Rhinolophus ferrumequinum: one gene and its partner. The protein of the gene in region 2 purifies or fractionates together with the protein of the main gene of each other region. This does not show direct contact. Links are inferred from orthologs where the notes say so. Each region holds a gene or a part of one and is shown on either strand. Other genes may lie near its edges. The genes, in order: PPP6R2 and ANKRD28.

What was found.
Region 1: the proteins of ANKRD28 (region 2) and PPP6R2 purify together in Homo sapiens (co-immunoprecipitation; 4 studies listed by BioGRID and IntAct, counting the BioPlex papers as one, with this or other methods). This does not show direct contact. The link is inferred for Rhinolophus ferrumequinum from reciprocal best matches to the Homo sapiens genes ANKRD28 and PPP6R2.

The regions. Positions count from the first base shown.
Region 1 is NC_046293.1:376,666-384,460, reverse strand, and holds the start of PPP6R2 (serine/threonine-protein phosphatase 6 regulatory subunit 2), read left to right. Parts: upstream 1-4,455; 5' UTR 4,456-4,674; intron 4,675-7,795. UniProt on the Homo sapiens protein: Regulatory subunit of protein phosphatase 6 (PP6). May function as a scaffolding PP6 subunit. Involved in the PP6-mediated dephosphorylation of NFKBIE opposing its degradation in response to TNF-alpha.
Region 2 is NC_046300.1:30,957,640-30,966,464, reverse strand, and holds the start of ANKRD28 (serine/threonine-protein phosphatase 6 regulatory ankyrin repeat subunit A), read right to left. Parts: upstream 3,294-8,825; 5' UTR 1,883-3,293; coding exon 1,766-1,882; intron 637-1,765; coding exon 553-636; intron 1-552. UniProt on the Homo sapiens protein: Regulatory subunit of protein phosphatase 6 (PP6) that may be involved in the recognition of phosphoprotein substrates. Involved in the PP6-mediated dephosphorylation of NFKBIE opposing its degradation in response to TNF-alpha.

The DNA of each region.
Region 1 (7,795 bases), on a different chromosome or scaffold from region 2:
ACACACTTCTCTGTTATGTTTGTTCCTAAGTATGTTATTCACTTTGATGCAATCATGAATGGAATTTTTAAAATTCAATTTTCAGATTGTTTGTTGCTGGAAATGTAACTTGTTTGTATATTGATATTGTATCCTGTGACCTTGTTAAACTAGCTTACTATTTCTAGTAGATTTTTTTGGTGGATTCCTTAGGATTTTCTAAATGTATAATCATATCATCTGTGAATAAAGACAATTCTAATCTGTGCGGCTTTAATTTTTTTTCTTGACTATTGCATGGGCTAGATAGAACCTTTAGTACAATGTAGAATCATTTCAAATATTTCTTCTCTTCCTTTCTTCTCCTCCTGGTGTTCCCATGACGTGTATGTCACACTTTTTGCAGTTCTCCCCCAGTCTTTGGATATTCTCTCTGTTTTTTGCAATATTTGTTCGCTTTGCTTTTCAGTTTTCAAGGAGTCTATTGATATACCCCCAGCTCAGAGATTCTTTCCTCAGCCATGTCCAGTCCATGAGCCCATCAGAAATGTTCTCCATTTCCATTTCAGAGTGTTTGATCCCTCACTTCTCTTTTGGTTCTTTCTTAGAATTTCCGTCCCTCTGATGACGTTGCTCATGTGTCCTAGTGTGCCACCTGCTTCGTCCATTAGAGCCCTAGCACAAGAGTCACAGTTGCTTTAAATTATTATGGGATACTTCCAGTACCCCTGCCGTGTCTGGTTCTGATGCTGCTCTGTCTCCACCAACGGCGTTTTTGCCTTGAGTGTGCCTTGTCATTTACTATTGAAAGGCGGACATGTCCTTGGTAACAGGGAGTCCAGTAAACGGGCCTTCGTGACGTGGTGTCAGGTGTGGGGGGCAGTTTTCTGTGGTCTCACGATTCGGGTCAGTCTGTAGTGAGCCTGCGCCCTGCACTGTGCTCCCCGTGTGTGTCTCTGTTTTCTCCTCCGCCCTTAGCTGGACCAATGGATGGAGGGGCTGCAGTTGGGTATTTCCCTTCTGCAGTCAGTGGGCTCTGATGATCCCCAGCTGGCCGGGCCCCGGTTAGTTTCTCCCCAGGGCAGGCCTTGAGAACAGGATGCCTGGTGTGTTTAAAATGGTTGCTTTCCTCCCTCGCTGGAAGCATGAGGGGACCTTTCTCTGATACTGGGAACCTGGTCGAGCTCCTGGAGGTGAATCTCATGATACCGTGAGGCCCCCTTATGACTGGGTCCCTGGAGTTTCTCACTCTGACGTGTTCACTCTGAGCCTCCAGAAATGCATCACTTACAGTTCAGGGGACCCCCGTACAGATTCCCCGGTGGTTTCTGCCCGTGAATCTCTGCTCTGGGAAGCCGTGATGACCTGTGTTCACCTGTTTCTCCAGTTTTGGGAGCAGTGGTTTGCCCTGTGTCCTCCCTTCTCTTACAGATCCAAGACGGGTTGTTGCTTTTTCAGTTTCTTCTGCTTGTCACTTGTTAGGATTGAGGGATGACTTCCAAACTCCTTACATGAGGAACCCTACATTGTAGAACTGAAGTGGTGAAAGCAGACATTCTTGCCTCAGTTCTAATGTTAGAGGAAAAGCCTTTAATCTTTCACCATTAGATTTGTTTTTAGTCGTAGATTTTTCCTAGATACCTTTTATGAAGTTAGGGAACTTCCCATCTATTTCTAGTTTGTTGAGAGTGTTTATGATGCAGAGGGATTGTTGACTTTGGTTCTTCATTAATTCCTGTTGACTTTAGTCAACATCTGAGTCATTTCCTTTCAACTTGAAGTGCTTCCTTTCATATTTCTGGTAAGGCAGATCTGCTAGCAATGGCTTTTCTGTTTTGTTTATCTGGGAATGTCTTTATCTCACCTTCATTTGTTTCACCTTCATTTTTGAAGGATAATATTGCTGGGTATAGTTTTTTTCAATGACAGATTTTATTTTTTTCTTCAGCACTTTATGCCATTTTATTGTCTTATGGCTTCTATTACCCATGACAAGAATTAATTGTATCATTTTTCCCCTTTATGTGATGGGTCATTTTTTCTGTTGCTGCTTTCAGGGTTTTCTTTCTGCCTCTGACACACAGGAATTTGGTTATGGTGTACATAGTATAGGTATGGCTCTCCGTGTGTATGTCCTACTTGGGTTTACAGAGCAGTGGTCTTCTGATGCCCTGGTGTGTGTGTGTCCTTGGCACTGTGGGGGCTTTTTTTTTAATATTTAAAAATATTTTTTATTGGGGAACAGTGTATTTTTCCAGGGCCCATTAGCTCCAAGTCGTTGTTCTTTCAACCTACGTTGTTGTGGAGGGAATAGCTCAGCTCAAAGTCCAGTTGCCGTTTTCAATCTTAGTTGCAGGGGGTGCAGCTCACCATCCCATTCGGCAATTGAACCGGCAACCTTGTTGTTGAGAGCTCACGCTCTAACCAACTGAGCTATCCGGCCGCCCCTGTGGGGGCTTTTGAAGGGAAGAACAGGACAGTTCCTTCTGCTCTGATGGAACTCCAGAGGCAGCACATGTCTTACAGTTATTGATGAATAAATTTGCACTTGATGTTCCTAGTAATAGAATTAATTTTATTTGGTCCTTCTGTGTCAGCTTGGCTTGATTTTAGCTGTTTTATGTCCACTACAAGTCACTTTAGAAAGGAAATCTGTTAAAGAGCCCACATCTTATGACCAGCTACAGGAACAAGGGTTGTAGTAGCGTTGCATGTTACAATGTGTTTATTTGTGTATACATATATATACACATATATATGTACATATATATATATATACACACACATATATATACACCATTTTCTTCTCTCTCCTTTCCATTTTTTTAAATATGTAAGCTGTCACAGGTTAACTTTACTAGTTAGTTTAAAGAGAAGAACATAAGAGACTATTCAGTGGGACAGTGACAGAATTTGAGGAGTAAGTAATGTAGCCAATGAAAGATACAATGGCTGTTGGGAGTGCATATGCTCATTTTGAAACAGTGAGAATTTTTTCACTTGCAGTAAGGATGGACAGACATATCTTGTGTTAGGTGAAAATATGAGTTGTTTTGTTGTTGTATGGAAGTTCAAATATGTTTGAAAGGATGCATACAGATGCTGACTATCCAGAGGGTTGGACTCTGACCATTTTCCACTTACTGACTCCTCTCTGAATCCACTTCTCATTGCCTGTTCGGTGATCATGGAAACCCCCAAGCGTTTCTTTTGCAGTTGGCACGATGTTTAGCTTTGTCAGTAGAGTGCTGGAGGGTCACTGCCAGAGGAAGAGACCTCCTGGTCTGAGGCCCCATTTTGCAGCTCAGCCCACAGCGCCCCTGTCTCTGCAGGGAGGGACCTCTGCTAGCGTTTCTCCTCTCGGTTGCAAATCTGATGCTTTTTTACTCCCGATTCCTTACAGAACCTGCCAGAGATCTGCCGTGCAGGATGCTGGGGAAAGGTGTTCAGGGGAAGACATTCTGCTATCAAGCCGCCGGAGGGGATGCTGGGGAAGCTGCAGGCCACAGGAGCTGGACGCAGGGAAATCAGGTAACTGGAAGGCGGTAGCTCCAGCCGGCAGAGCGAGCCCCAGAACAAACCCTCGCGCGCCCTCTCGTGTCGGAGCTCAGCATCTGCAAGCCCAGGTACGCATTCGCAGAGAGGACGACCAGACGATGCTTTTGCAGCTGAAGAAGGAAGTTGGTAACTGGCGCAGGTTGTAGACATTCCTTAAGTGTCCAATTTCATTTTCCAACATTTTCCCACGTTTCACGCTGACACCTAAAATTATAACTCTTATTTTAGAGATTAGTTGGTTTAATTGAATTATACGATTTCAACAAATGTTAAACGGGTACATGTTTTAATGTGCAAAACACAGTACACCTGTGGGGCACCCTGAAAAAACACTACATGTGGTGGCTTCTGCTCAGGCGTTCCCAGTCCAGTTACTAGGAAACAAGTCCTAGAGGGAATCTCTGCATGACACATGGGGGGCTGACCACGGTTCACTCTTGCTCTGGCCGTGTCCACGCCACGTGCCCAAGGACACCCAGCTGCCCGAGAGGACACCCAGCTGCCCCAGTGGGAGAGGCCTAAAGCCTGGGCGGAAGACCCCCCAGAGAGCAGATGACCCCTGCCCCAGGTATGTGATCCTCCAATGCTTTCAGGCCTCTGGAGGGGTTGCTCTGTTGCTGACGTTGCATTGGAAAACTTATTACCGTAAATGCATTATCCCATAATAAGTTAATTATGCTTGTACAGAAATTTAGGAATACCTTAGAGGGAAAAGGAAAAGGAGAAACCGCCGCCCACCCACCCGGCTCTCAAGCAGCCTGCACCTTCGCATTGCAACCGATCGCGGCCCGGCATCCCAGCGCGTCCAGGTGACCATAAGAGCCCCGCCCCCACGCTCAGCTCCGCCCCCACGCGAGCTCGCGCTCAGCGCAAAGGCCCCGCCCCCAGCGTGCGCGCCCCGCCCCCCGCCGCAGCCGCCATTTTGGAGCGACCTGAGCGCCGCTAGCGCCCCGAGCCGGTTCCGAGCCGCCGGCGGGCCCGCGCCGTGTCGGTGGGCGCCGTGTCCGTAGGCGCCGCGCCTGGCCGGGCCCATGTGCGTGCGGTCCGCACCAGGCCGCTCGGGCTTTGCCTCCGCCAGCGCCGTGGCCTCCACCCAGGCCTCCGAGGAGCCGCCGCGACGCCCGGCCCGCCGGGCAGGTGAGTGCGGCCGCCCTCAGACTCCTCAGAGCCCGCTCCTTTCGGTGCCCCTCCTGTCGGTAGTGTCTACCCGTCAGTGGCCACCCTCGTCAGTGACCAGCCCCCGCCGGTGACCAGCCCGTAGTGTCCACCCGTCAGTGACCACCTCTTGACAGTGACCACCCAGTTACTGACCACCTCCGGTCAGTGACCTCCCGTCAGTGACCTCTCCAGTCACTGACTACCTCCGGTCAGTGACCTCCCGTCAGTGGACCCCCCACCCCCACCCCCGACAGTGACCACCCGTTAGTGACCGCCCCAGTCAGTGACCCCCCCACCTCCCCCACCCCAACCTTCGTCAGTGACCACCTGTCAGTGACTACCCATTAGTGACCTCCTGTCAGTGACCATCTGTTAGTGACCTCCCGTCAGTGACCACCTCCCGTCAGTGACCACCTCCCGTCAGTGACCTCCCGTCAGTGACCACCCCAGTCAGTGATCTCTCCAGTCACTGACCACCTTCGGTCAGTGACCTCCCGTCAGTGACCCCCCACCCCCACCCCCGTCAGTGACCACCCCAGTCAGTGACCCCCCCCACGGCCCCCCAACCCCCATCAGTGACCCCCTCCACCACCCCCACCCCAACCGCCATCAGTGACCACCTGTCAGTGACCTCCCGTCAGTATCCGCCCTCATCAGTGACTACCCATTAGTGACCTCCTGTCAGTGACTGCCTGTTAGTGACCACCCGTCAGTGACCACCTCCCGTCAGTGACCACCTCCCGTCAGTGACCACCCCAGTCAGTGACCACCCGTCAGTGACCTCCCGTCAGTGACCACCCCAGTCAGTGACCACCCCAGTCAGTGACCACCCCAGTCAGTGACCACCCCAGTCAGTGACCTCCCGTCAGTGACCACTCGTCAGTGACCACCCCAGTCAGTGACCACTCGTCAGTGACCACCCCAGTCAGTGACCTCTCGTCAGTGACCTCCCGTCAGTGACCACCTCCCGTCAGTGACCACCCCAGTCAGTGACCACCCCAGTCAGTGACCTCCCGTCAGTGACCACTCGTCAGTGACCACCCCAGTCAGTGACCACTCGTCAGTGACCACCCCAGTCAGTGACCTCTCGTCAGTGACCTCCCGTCAGTGACCACCTCCCGTCAGTGACCACCCCAGTCAGTGACCACCCCAGTCAGTGACCTCCCGTCAGTGACCACTCGTCAGTGACCACCCCAGTCAGTGACCACCCGTCAGTGACCACTCGTCAGTGACCACCCCAGTCAGTGACCATCCCAGTCAGTGACCACCCCAGTCAGTGACCACCCCAGTCAGTGACCACCCCAGTCAGTGACCACCCCAGTCAGTGACCACCCCAGTCAGTGACCACCCCAGTCAGTGACTTCCCGTCAGTGACCACTCGTCAGTGACCACCCCAGTCAGTGACCACCCGTCAGTGACCACTCATCAGTGACCACCCCAGTCAGTGACCACCCCAGTCAGTGACCACCCCAGTCAGTGACCATCCCAGTCAGTGACCACCCCAGTCAGTGACCTCCCTTCAGTGACCACCCCAGTCAGTGACCACCCCAGTCAGTGACCTCCCTTCAGTGACCACCCCAGTCAGTGACCACTCGTCAGTGACCACTCGTCAGTGACCACCCCAGTCAGTGACCACCCCAGTCAGTGACCACCCCAGTCAGTGACCACTCGTCAGTGACCACCCCAGTCAGTGACCACTCGTCAGTGACCACTCGTCAGTGACCACCCCAGTCAGTGACCACCCCAGTCAGTGACCTCCCCAGTCAGTGACCACCCTTCAGTGACCACCCCAGTCAGTGACCACCCCAGTCAGTGACCACCTCCCGTCAGTGACCACCCCAGTCAGTGACCACCCCAGTCAGTGACCTCCCTTCAGTGACCACCCCAGTCAGTGACCACTCGTCAGTGACCACCCCAGTCAGTGACCACTCGTCAGTGACCACCCCAGTCAGTGACCACCCCAGTCAGTGACCACCCGTCAGTGACCTCCCGTCAGTGACCACCCCAGTCAGTGACTACCCGTCAGTGACCACCCCAGTCAGTGACCACCCCTCAGTGACCACCCCAGTCAGTGACCACCCGTCAGTGACCACCCCAGTCAGTGACCACCCCTCAGTGACCACCTCCTCTGTCAGTGACCGTCTGTCAGTGATATCCCATGTGTTCACCCCATTATGTCCACCTTGTCAGTGTCCACTGCATAGTATCCACTCTCATCAGTGTCTGCCCCACTCTCTCTCTGTCCCCCCTCAGTTTCTCCCAAGGCAGTGTCTACCCTCCCCTTGGTGCCCTCCCAGTCAGTGTCCCCCATGTTACCAGCCCTCCAAGTGCCCTCCTAGCCGCTCAGTGTCACGTGTCAGTGCCCCAGCTCCCTCAGTGCCCTTATGGTTATGTTGCCCCTCCCGCATGCTGCCAGTGTGCCCATGTCTGTGCCCCTCAAGGCAGTGTCCACATGTCAGTGTCCCCCGGTCAGGACTCCCCTTACCATCAAGTGCCCCTGTCCGTCCTCCTCAGCCTGTCGCTGTTCACATCCTTGTTCTCACTGCTCCCCCCACCCTCTTCTTAGGGACCCTTCTTATCAGTGCCCTGACCCACTCGTCAGTGCCCCCACTGCCCATCTCCTGCCTGTCTGTGTAGGACACTCCCCTCCCCAGTGCCCACTGCCATCACTCACCGTACCCACTCAGTGACCCCTCTTTCCATCACCATTACGGCTCCAAGTGTCTCACCTCCCCCCATCCTGTCACTTTCCGACCCCTTTACCCCTCCCTGCCCCATTTCTTCTTCCATCCTCATCATCTCATCCTTCACATCTGTCGCCTTCACTCATGCACCTTACTGGCCCCCTTGAATGTCCTCCCCACCTATCAGTGTACCGTTTTCCACACACCCCACCTGCCACTTTGTGTCCTAGAGCCTAACTACCTGCATTGTTCACCCACTTGTTTCTGACCACTCCCAGTTTTCTCCTCAGCCTCTGCCCTGTCACTGCCAGCTCACCCAGCTTGTCACTGTCTGCCTGTCACTGTACCCACCTGTCTTGTCCCTATGGCCTTCTCCAGCCTGTTACTCTTTCACCCCTCCTATCACCTTCCTCCAT
Region 2 (8,825 bases):
TGACTCATTCTGTATAATGCTCACCAGGATTATCTGCAGTAGGCAAATCTGATCTCATAATCAAGTTTAGATATGTTATAAACTTAATAGAAATGTCTTTTATTTTGAATTCACAAAAAAGAACCCTCATCTGAAATGCGCACAAGTAACTATCAGTGAGTTAGTTATCTGCAACTTACTTTCAAATGGGATTCAGCAGAAGAAAAAGAAAAAATGTATAAAATATGTGTAAATATGAGAAAGTAAATGTGGCAAAATGTCATCAATGCTATATCTAAGTGGAGAGTATATGGGTATTCAAAGTATTTTTTTCAACTTTTCTGTGAATTTTTTCAAAGTAAAAAGCCGGGGGAAAAAAGGACCCTCACTGGCTCCTTGTTCTCTTGAATATATATCCAGTCCCTTCCTTTTTTGCCTCAAGACCCTTCTAATCTCACTTAAAAAAAAAAACTGTTACAGAATTGTTATGTCTTTTAAACAAAACTCATAACTCTAGGAAAGAGTTTTTAAAAGTAGGCTTAAAGGCTGGTATCAGTGAATTAATTGTGTTACCTGAAAGTTAACATCTTCTTTCTTAAATATTAGTGCTCGAACTTCATCAGGATCTCCATTAAATATAGCTTGCACCAGTGATGGCTAAAATATAAGAGAGTAATAAAAACATTAATCACAGCACATGGATGATTCTAAAGATATTTCCACACAACTTCTAAATCTAAAATTTTCCTTCCCTATAGCAACAAATATTTGTGTTTTTTTGATACTGATCAAAAGTTTCACGAAGTCAAATCAGATGAAAATACAGGATTCCTCCTTGGAAAGGAGGAGGCCTAATTAAAAAAAGTCAGCTCAGTATGACAAAAATTAGGCGGTATAATAAACACAGATTTTTACTATTTTTTTAATGAGTGCAAGCCTTTTGTTTATCTATATGGTAAAAAGAAAGTTTCTGCCGAATACAAGTGTGACATCTCAACATCTACTTGTGGGAAGCAACGTGTCAAATAAGCAGTTCCCAGTCAATGCTGAGGTCCAAGAGAGAAGGCTAAGGCTTCTTTGAGAATTTCTGTTTGGGGCATCAAAATAACTTGCAAAGGTTAACATTACATGTATAAAGATCTAAATCCAAAGAAAGAAAAGCTGGCAATTGATGAAAATCACCACTATTCAAAGACCAAGAAATACTGCATACCTGAATAACATGAAGAGGCAAACACGTGCATGGCTAAATATAGCAACTTCTTAATTAACGACACAGCCTCTCTGATAAGGTATCATATTATACTAGTCAAACAAGAAGCCAATTGACAACAGCACTAAAAATAAGATTAAGAATAAAGTCTGATACTTTTTCCTCGGAAAGTCTTGCACGTAAACACATAAAATTCATTACAGAAAAGGCTGTGCCTTGGCAGTAGTCAACGGTTCCTAAAACGGAGTTCCTCATTCTCATTATTACCTCAGTTTTTAAAACCATAAAATGAAAACAGAAACGTGGTTGCCGTAACTACTGATCTCAGATTATTTTTTTAAGTCTTAAGAGATAGCAAGTAAAGTCTGAAAAGTTGTCTAAATATCTGAAAAAGTAAAAATCAGAGATGTGAATTTTACACACAAGTAATATTGCATATTTATACATCTATATTGCTTTAATTTGGGTTTTTAATGAAACTAGTAGAAATTAACTTATATTTATTCTTAAAAAATAAAATTTGCCCTACTAGTTCAGTAGAATACAGTAAACATATAAACTCTCTTATCTTACCAATACACTTCCAGAAGATGGAGAATGTAGGGATTTATTTTCCTGTGGCAATTTAGAAATGAATTCAGGAGATTCATCTTCTACCTCCTCCAAAACAACAATACACACTCGACTCATTCGCTCTTTTAAAATACTAAATTCCAAGCTCTGTGATAAAAGTCACAGTTGCAAGAGCACAAGTAGTTTTTCCTCCTCTTCTGTACAACACTTAGAATCATTCTCTGAACAGCGCAGCTGGTTTTTTAAAGTTAGTAAGTATGACCGGAAAAACTGAAGTTTAAAATTATGACTACAGAACTTATAACTTCCTAAAAACAACAAAATTCTGTTATTTTCTGTTGGGTTATTGCAATACTTAAATTTCACATCAACATGTCAATAACTACAACTGAGTCCAGTACAAGCTCATTTAAAAATATTTTTCCCCTACCAAAATAGTAATATTGCTCTGTGTCTCACAGAAATTGCATAAAAAGATCATTGTTTTGGGTGACAACACCATACAATGCAGAATGAAATGAGAAACAACTGCTGTGACAGAGATAATTACAGCTATACCCCACTCTTGCCTGCAAGGTCATATAGTTACCGGTAGCTGGCTTGCTTATGATTGTAAATAAAAAATAAAATCTCACTATTCTGTTTCCACTTCTAATTTGTCTTCATTTCTTCAGCTTCACTAGTTTAATGCAGAAAAAAAATATATCTAGAGCTCAGCACAAATTCTTAAAATGCAGCTCAAAGGCTGACAATTCTTTCTGTGTTTGGGAAAGAAAAAAAACAACAGTCTGCATTAATAGCAAAGCTGCAGTACATTTACATGCGATGAGTCAGACCCCGAGAGACAATAGGACTCTTGGTACTAGAATATAGCTTGATTAATCCAGGTATCCCACATAATAGAAGGAACACAGATAGCTTTATTCCTATCAATAGCAGAAGGCAGAACATTCATTCTTTCTCCATCAGGCAGTTGTCTGTGGCTGCTCCAGCAAAAGGGCACAGGCACCAGGCAGAAATGGTGTGAGCGGGGAATCCTAATAGAACAGGCAGGCCGCGAAGGAATTAGAAGGCATTTGAGCTCGAATTACTGCTTCAGGCTTTCCATTTAAAAAGAGAGAAAAAACCCCCCGTAGTTTATCATTCCAGTGTTTCCTTTGATCTCCACATGAATACAGCTTCCATTAAATAGTCTTCATTCAGAGAAAAAAACAGCAGACTGTGCATCTTCTTTGAGCCAACTACTTTATTCAATCATCTGCTTCTGTGCCAATACAGTTTCCTTCCACTGTGAAAACCGCTACAGTTATCCTTTTCAGTAGATTTCAGATGTTTTCCTGTTCCTCAGATGATCTTGCAAAACGCCACTGACTCCTCCAAATGAGTAGGTCCTTAGAAAATATCTATAGAACCTAAGGATCGGCCCCACAGAAGCATTCCAACTGAGGGGCAGTCTGAACAGCAAAGACTGCAGAACCGCAGGATGAAATGCCTAGTAATGCTCACATGTTACACTTACCAGAGATCTGAGCTACTGCTGGGGATGGAACTTCCTCTAGCAGGAGAAAAAAATAGTACATTTGGACTGCCTTCACAATTAGAAGGGTTCATGCCAGTTCTGTGACTAAGCCAGAACAAACTGAAAAATTCTGTAACTGAAAAATGAGTGCGCTTTTAACATTTTCCACTAAAAGCCACAAGGAAATCTGGTGTACTGCCTCTGCTGACTAACACTGGTTTTAGCAAGTAAACAATTCCAAACAACTTAACTGCTTTTGTATGTTAGGATATGGCAAATGTTTAACCCTATAATGATAGCTGCATTAAGAATGTCTGCAGTGAGTTCACATAAGAGAATTAGAGAAAAAGGAGAAATATTTTATGATAATATAAGAACCATGAACCTAAGGTTTTAGTCTTATTTACCAACACCATTTAAAATCTACCAGATGTATGTTATTTTCAAAGATGCAAAGAAGTTTAAACAAAAGAAATTTAAGATTTACTAACAATTTCTAAGTTGAATGTAATCAATCAAGTCATATTTTTTAAAGGAAAAAATAAAAATTTTATAATGTAGATACCTTAACTCTAAAATTTATTCTATGGATTATCTGAATTTTCACTGATTAAATAATTCTACCTTCTCATCTGGAAATGGAATACAGCCTTAAAAATCTATTAAATAACTACATAAAACTATTGTGTAAAGTTCCTGGTACTGAATTATCTATATATCAAAAAGGCACAGGGTAACACAAAGACAGCAAAGAATCTCCCTCCCCTATAAAATTAATATTCCCAAAGTTACAAATCAGTGTCAAAAACTACCACTTTATAGTTGGCTTCCCCCGCTTTCTCTGTTTACTCAACGATGGGGACATTTCCCAAAAGAAAAATTACAAAGAAAATACCATGGTTCCCCTTCGATCTCTGTTCTTTCTTTTATCAACTAGAATTTTTATTAATAAACAAGTTATTTTGAACATTTATGATGTGTTAGGTCGTGTACTTTCTCATTTAACACTCACAATAACCTTACTACATTCCCATATTATAGAGGAAAACACACTCAGAATTAAGTATTTTACCCGAAGTCATGCAAATTAGTAAAGTGCCTAATTTCAAACACATGCTCTTTCTAATCCATTCTGCCTCTCCTGAGTAGAGCATGCAAATACACACACTCAAGATCTCTGCAACCTGTAATTCCGGACTAAAAGTGATCTTAAAAAACAGGTAACCTATAATGATTGTGAAAAGTTTGAGTAACAAAGAAATATACTATTTATTGCAATAATATTCCCAAATAAGCTATTTTTAAAGGAGTATTTCAGGGCTGGTGTTAACTCTCGCATTAAAGCCACTTTACTTATCAAAACATAAAGAGAAAAAACTCCTAGAATGATACGGATAAGAATGCCAGAATTTAAGAATCAAAAACCATTAAATATGAAATCTATAAAAAAAACTTGTGACCCTAATATAATTGTATCAAGATAATAAACTATGCTAACAATTTACATAGTTGTATTTTAAAATATAAAAAATAATTTAAGGCTGAATTAAAGACATAGAAGTATTCTGACATATAAAAAATGTTAACTATCTCCACATGGCTAAATCAAAAATATCACCTTAATATTTGAAATACCTGAAAATGAAACCACTATAGTAACAATATCCTATATTCTATCTCCCCCGCCAAAAAAACCCCGAAATCTCTCTTTATATGGACAATTTTAACTTGTTCCAAAGTATCCAGTGTATACTTAGACTTCACTCAGGTACATCCTGTTTCTTGTTCTAGGTCAAATTCCATACTTAGGTCTTTCCCAACCAGAAAAAAGCTCTTTGAAGGCAGGGACTGTTATATACATATTGTTTCCTTCCACGTTCTTCCATCTGTAAATAATTTCAATAGATGAATTCTATTATGTCATAAGACTCTGGAATAAAGTGGTAAAATTATAAAACACAATGGAGGATTCATACATATATGTAACACAAACACTTTAATTAGAAAACACGGGAGGCATTAAGGTGCAAGCAAATGAATTTTGTACCTCCAGCAGGTGAGCAACTTAAATGTAGCAGTTGACAGGATATAAAACAGTGATATAGGATGACAGCTAAAATTAAGAGCTCAGGAGTTAGCCTAGGTACGTGGAGATCAAATTCTGATTCCATTATACATTAGATGTGTCCTTGGGTAAGCTACTTAAATTCCCTGAGCCTAAATTTCTCCATACTTATAAAATAATAATCTCCTGAGATTTTTATCTACAAGAAATACTGTAATAGCACAGTGATTGGGAATGTAAGCTTTGTAGCTAAACTGTATGTATTGTAATCCAGGTTCCCACAGGTTACTTAATCTCTCTGGGAATCATTTCAACATTATTAAAGGACTTGAACAGAATCTATAGTGCTATATTCACAGTGAAGTTTAAATAAAATGTGTATAGCAGTATTACTGTGGATATTTAGGGTAGTTGAATGATACCCTTAGTGAAACCAGTGAGTAAATAAAGGGCCATGTACAGAGCTCCTGCTGGTGAGGTGATTCAAACTGGGGGGTGGAGACCCCATTCAGTTGCTAACTCCCCACCCTTTTCAGGCTTCTGGAGAGACTGTTAGAAGCTAACACTCCAGTAACCAGACATGAATTTACTACCTATTATTGGGCAGGAGGAGCAGGAAACTTAGGCAAGAAGTAGGAGTACAGGTTTTTTCCATTTTTCTAGATTCACTGTACTTCATAGTCTAAGAGTAGAATGTACTGGCCCATGGTACACTATATAACCAAAGGTAGATGAAAAATACCGATAAATATTTCCATATTTTTTTATTATTTAACACCATACAACACTATTTTATATCTTCTACTAAATAAGATAGGCCCCTAACGTCAAGGAACTCACATCTTAAAGGAAAAGGAGACAGGTAAATAAGTATTTAAGAAGGAGAAACTACTTACGATAAAAAATTATTGATAGATTGCGAAAACAAGTTCAACATTCGTTTTTTTCTTTTTTCTTTTTTCAGTTGAACAACGGCAAGGGAATGTAGTGTTTTCTTGAGGCACTTACTTTTTAGGCCAAATTAGAGTAAGTGTTTTGGTAAGCCAACAATTTCAATCCTGGCAATTTCATAATCCTTCTATCCTTTATGCTAAAATGTATCCTATGAAAAGCTTACTCCTACTCTTCACAGAACCACGTAATGGTAAAGCTCATTTAAACCTTCATTTTATTGATAAAAATTTAACATGCTGAAAGATTATTTTTAGGTTCCTAATTTTGTTACACCAGAATTTCTTTTTTTTTGACACAAATGATTTTTCCTTTCTGCATAGATTCAACCCAAAGCTCAACTTATTTCTTACAAATCTGTGAATCCATATTGATTACCATAGAATAATACATTTTACTCAGGATATATTAAGTGACTATTCTGTGCTAAGCTAGTCTCTGAGTATTAAAAGACAAAAAACTTGTGGTGGAAGATGGTAAAGAGCGCGTTCAAACCATGTTTCAGAATAATTTCTCATAGTTCAAGAATCCTAAACAATCTTCTTGAGCTATACCTCATCTGTCCATGAGACTGTTTCTCAAGTCTTATGAACAAATTTAAAAGAAAATGGGGTGGGATTAAGAAATAGCTGCTTTCTATGATACCGGTCCCACTTCCTTGTGAACACATGGCCACTGTAAAAACATCACTTAACACAGGTGACTCTTGAACAACACAGGTTTCAACTGCGTAGGCCCACTTATACGTGGGCTTTTTTCAATAAATACTGTATATTCTCTTCCTTATGATTTTCATAATAATCTTTTCTTTCTCTAGCTTACTTTATTGTAACAATACAGTATATAATACATATAACACACAAAACATGTGTTGACTGTTTATGTTATCAGTAAGGCTTCCAGTCAACAGGCTATTAGTTTTGGGGGAGTCAAAAGTTATACGCAGATTTTCAACTGTACAGGGGAGAGAGAAGGTTGGTGCCCCACCCCCCTGTTGCTCAAGGGTTAACTGTATATTTAAAAAATGATGAATTCAAATTCTTTAACAGATCAGATTTAATTCTCTGCATGTAATATATTTATAAACTAGGCCATTTAAATATACTAAATCATATTTCCAAAATGGCTGACAAATATTATCTGAAGATCTTAAGTGGTTTAACATACTAACTAGTACGCTGCAATGGTAATAATAAATTGTTAACCCTTCCATTATGATTGTGTAATGCACAAAGTTAACACATATTAGTATTACATATTATTAATCTGATGTGTTCTTTGCAAAGACCTATATTCGGTATCCATTCTTCCCATCTTCCACTCAACTAGAACTTCAGTTTTTAGTAAGTACAGAGCCTCACGGAACAAAGACTACACTTCTCAGCCTCCCTTGTAGCTAGGAGTCACATGACAAAGTTCTCACCAGCATTTTAAGTAGAGGTGTTGTGTGGCTTCCAGAAAACGTCTTAAAAGGACAAATGGCATATCCACCCTGTTTCCTGGAACAGTAGGCTAGAGAGGATCTAAGTCCCTGAAGACTTTGTGGGACAGAACAGCCATAAAAGCCCTGGACTGCCTACGTCCTGACTTTTATGGCAGAGAGAAATAGTTCTGCCTTGTTTAATCAATGGGATTTTAAGTCTCTTTTACTTGGAGCTGAACTTAACTCTTAAATGATAATCTTATTCTTCTTTAATCATCAATGGGCATGTATCCTTCCAGCCCTGTTTTTCCACCATCCATATTCTATCTAGCACAGTATAGCTACTGAAGTTTTCAATAAATAAAATCAATTAACACACTAGCTGCAACAAATTGTAACAGAAACAGTAGCTGATCAGAAAACAGCTTGAAGAACAATCCACTCTATCATCCTGGGTAAGCAAAGGAAAATCAGCAGAGGAAAAGTAAACAAACATCACAAATACTCTCACTAAATTCTCAATTACCATTGGTGGTTACTGTTATCCAATTTATATCTGGGAAGTGGAAGCTCAGTAACATCTAATCAGTCAATGACTCATCCATTTATCTGTATTTATCCATCATCTACTATTGTGCTAGGCTTTCTGCTAGGCAGAGGAAACAAAAATTATGAACAGTCAATCCTCACTCTAATGGAGCTTACACACAAATAAATATATAACTGCAAACTCTGATAAACTGTAGAAGGAAAATAAAATTGGAGGGAAAGAAACTCAAGGAAGGTCCATGTGGCTGGAGCAAAAACCAACTGTCTTTACTGAAAAAAATCTGCATATAAGTGGACCCGTGCAGTTCAAACCCGTATTGCTCAAGGGTCAACTGGATTATACTTGCCACTAAGTCAGTCATTGTAAGAGTGAAGCATATAAATTTATTAATTGTTATCGGTATATAAGGATACCTTCTAACTGTCCATCCTCTAAAAAGAAAAGGCTTTTATAAAGCTATCCATAAACTTCATTGTTGTTACTTTTTCCTCTTTTAATTTATCAAAAGGGTGGTTTCTCAAAGAAACGAATGGTCTACTGGCTAGAAAATAT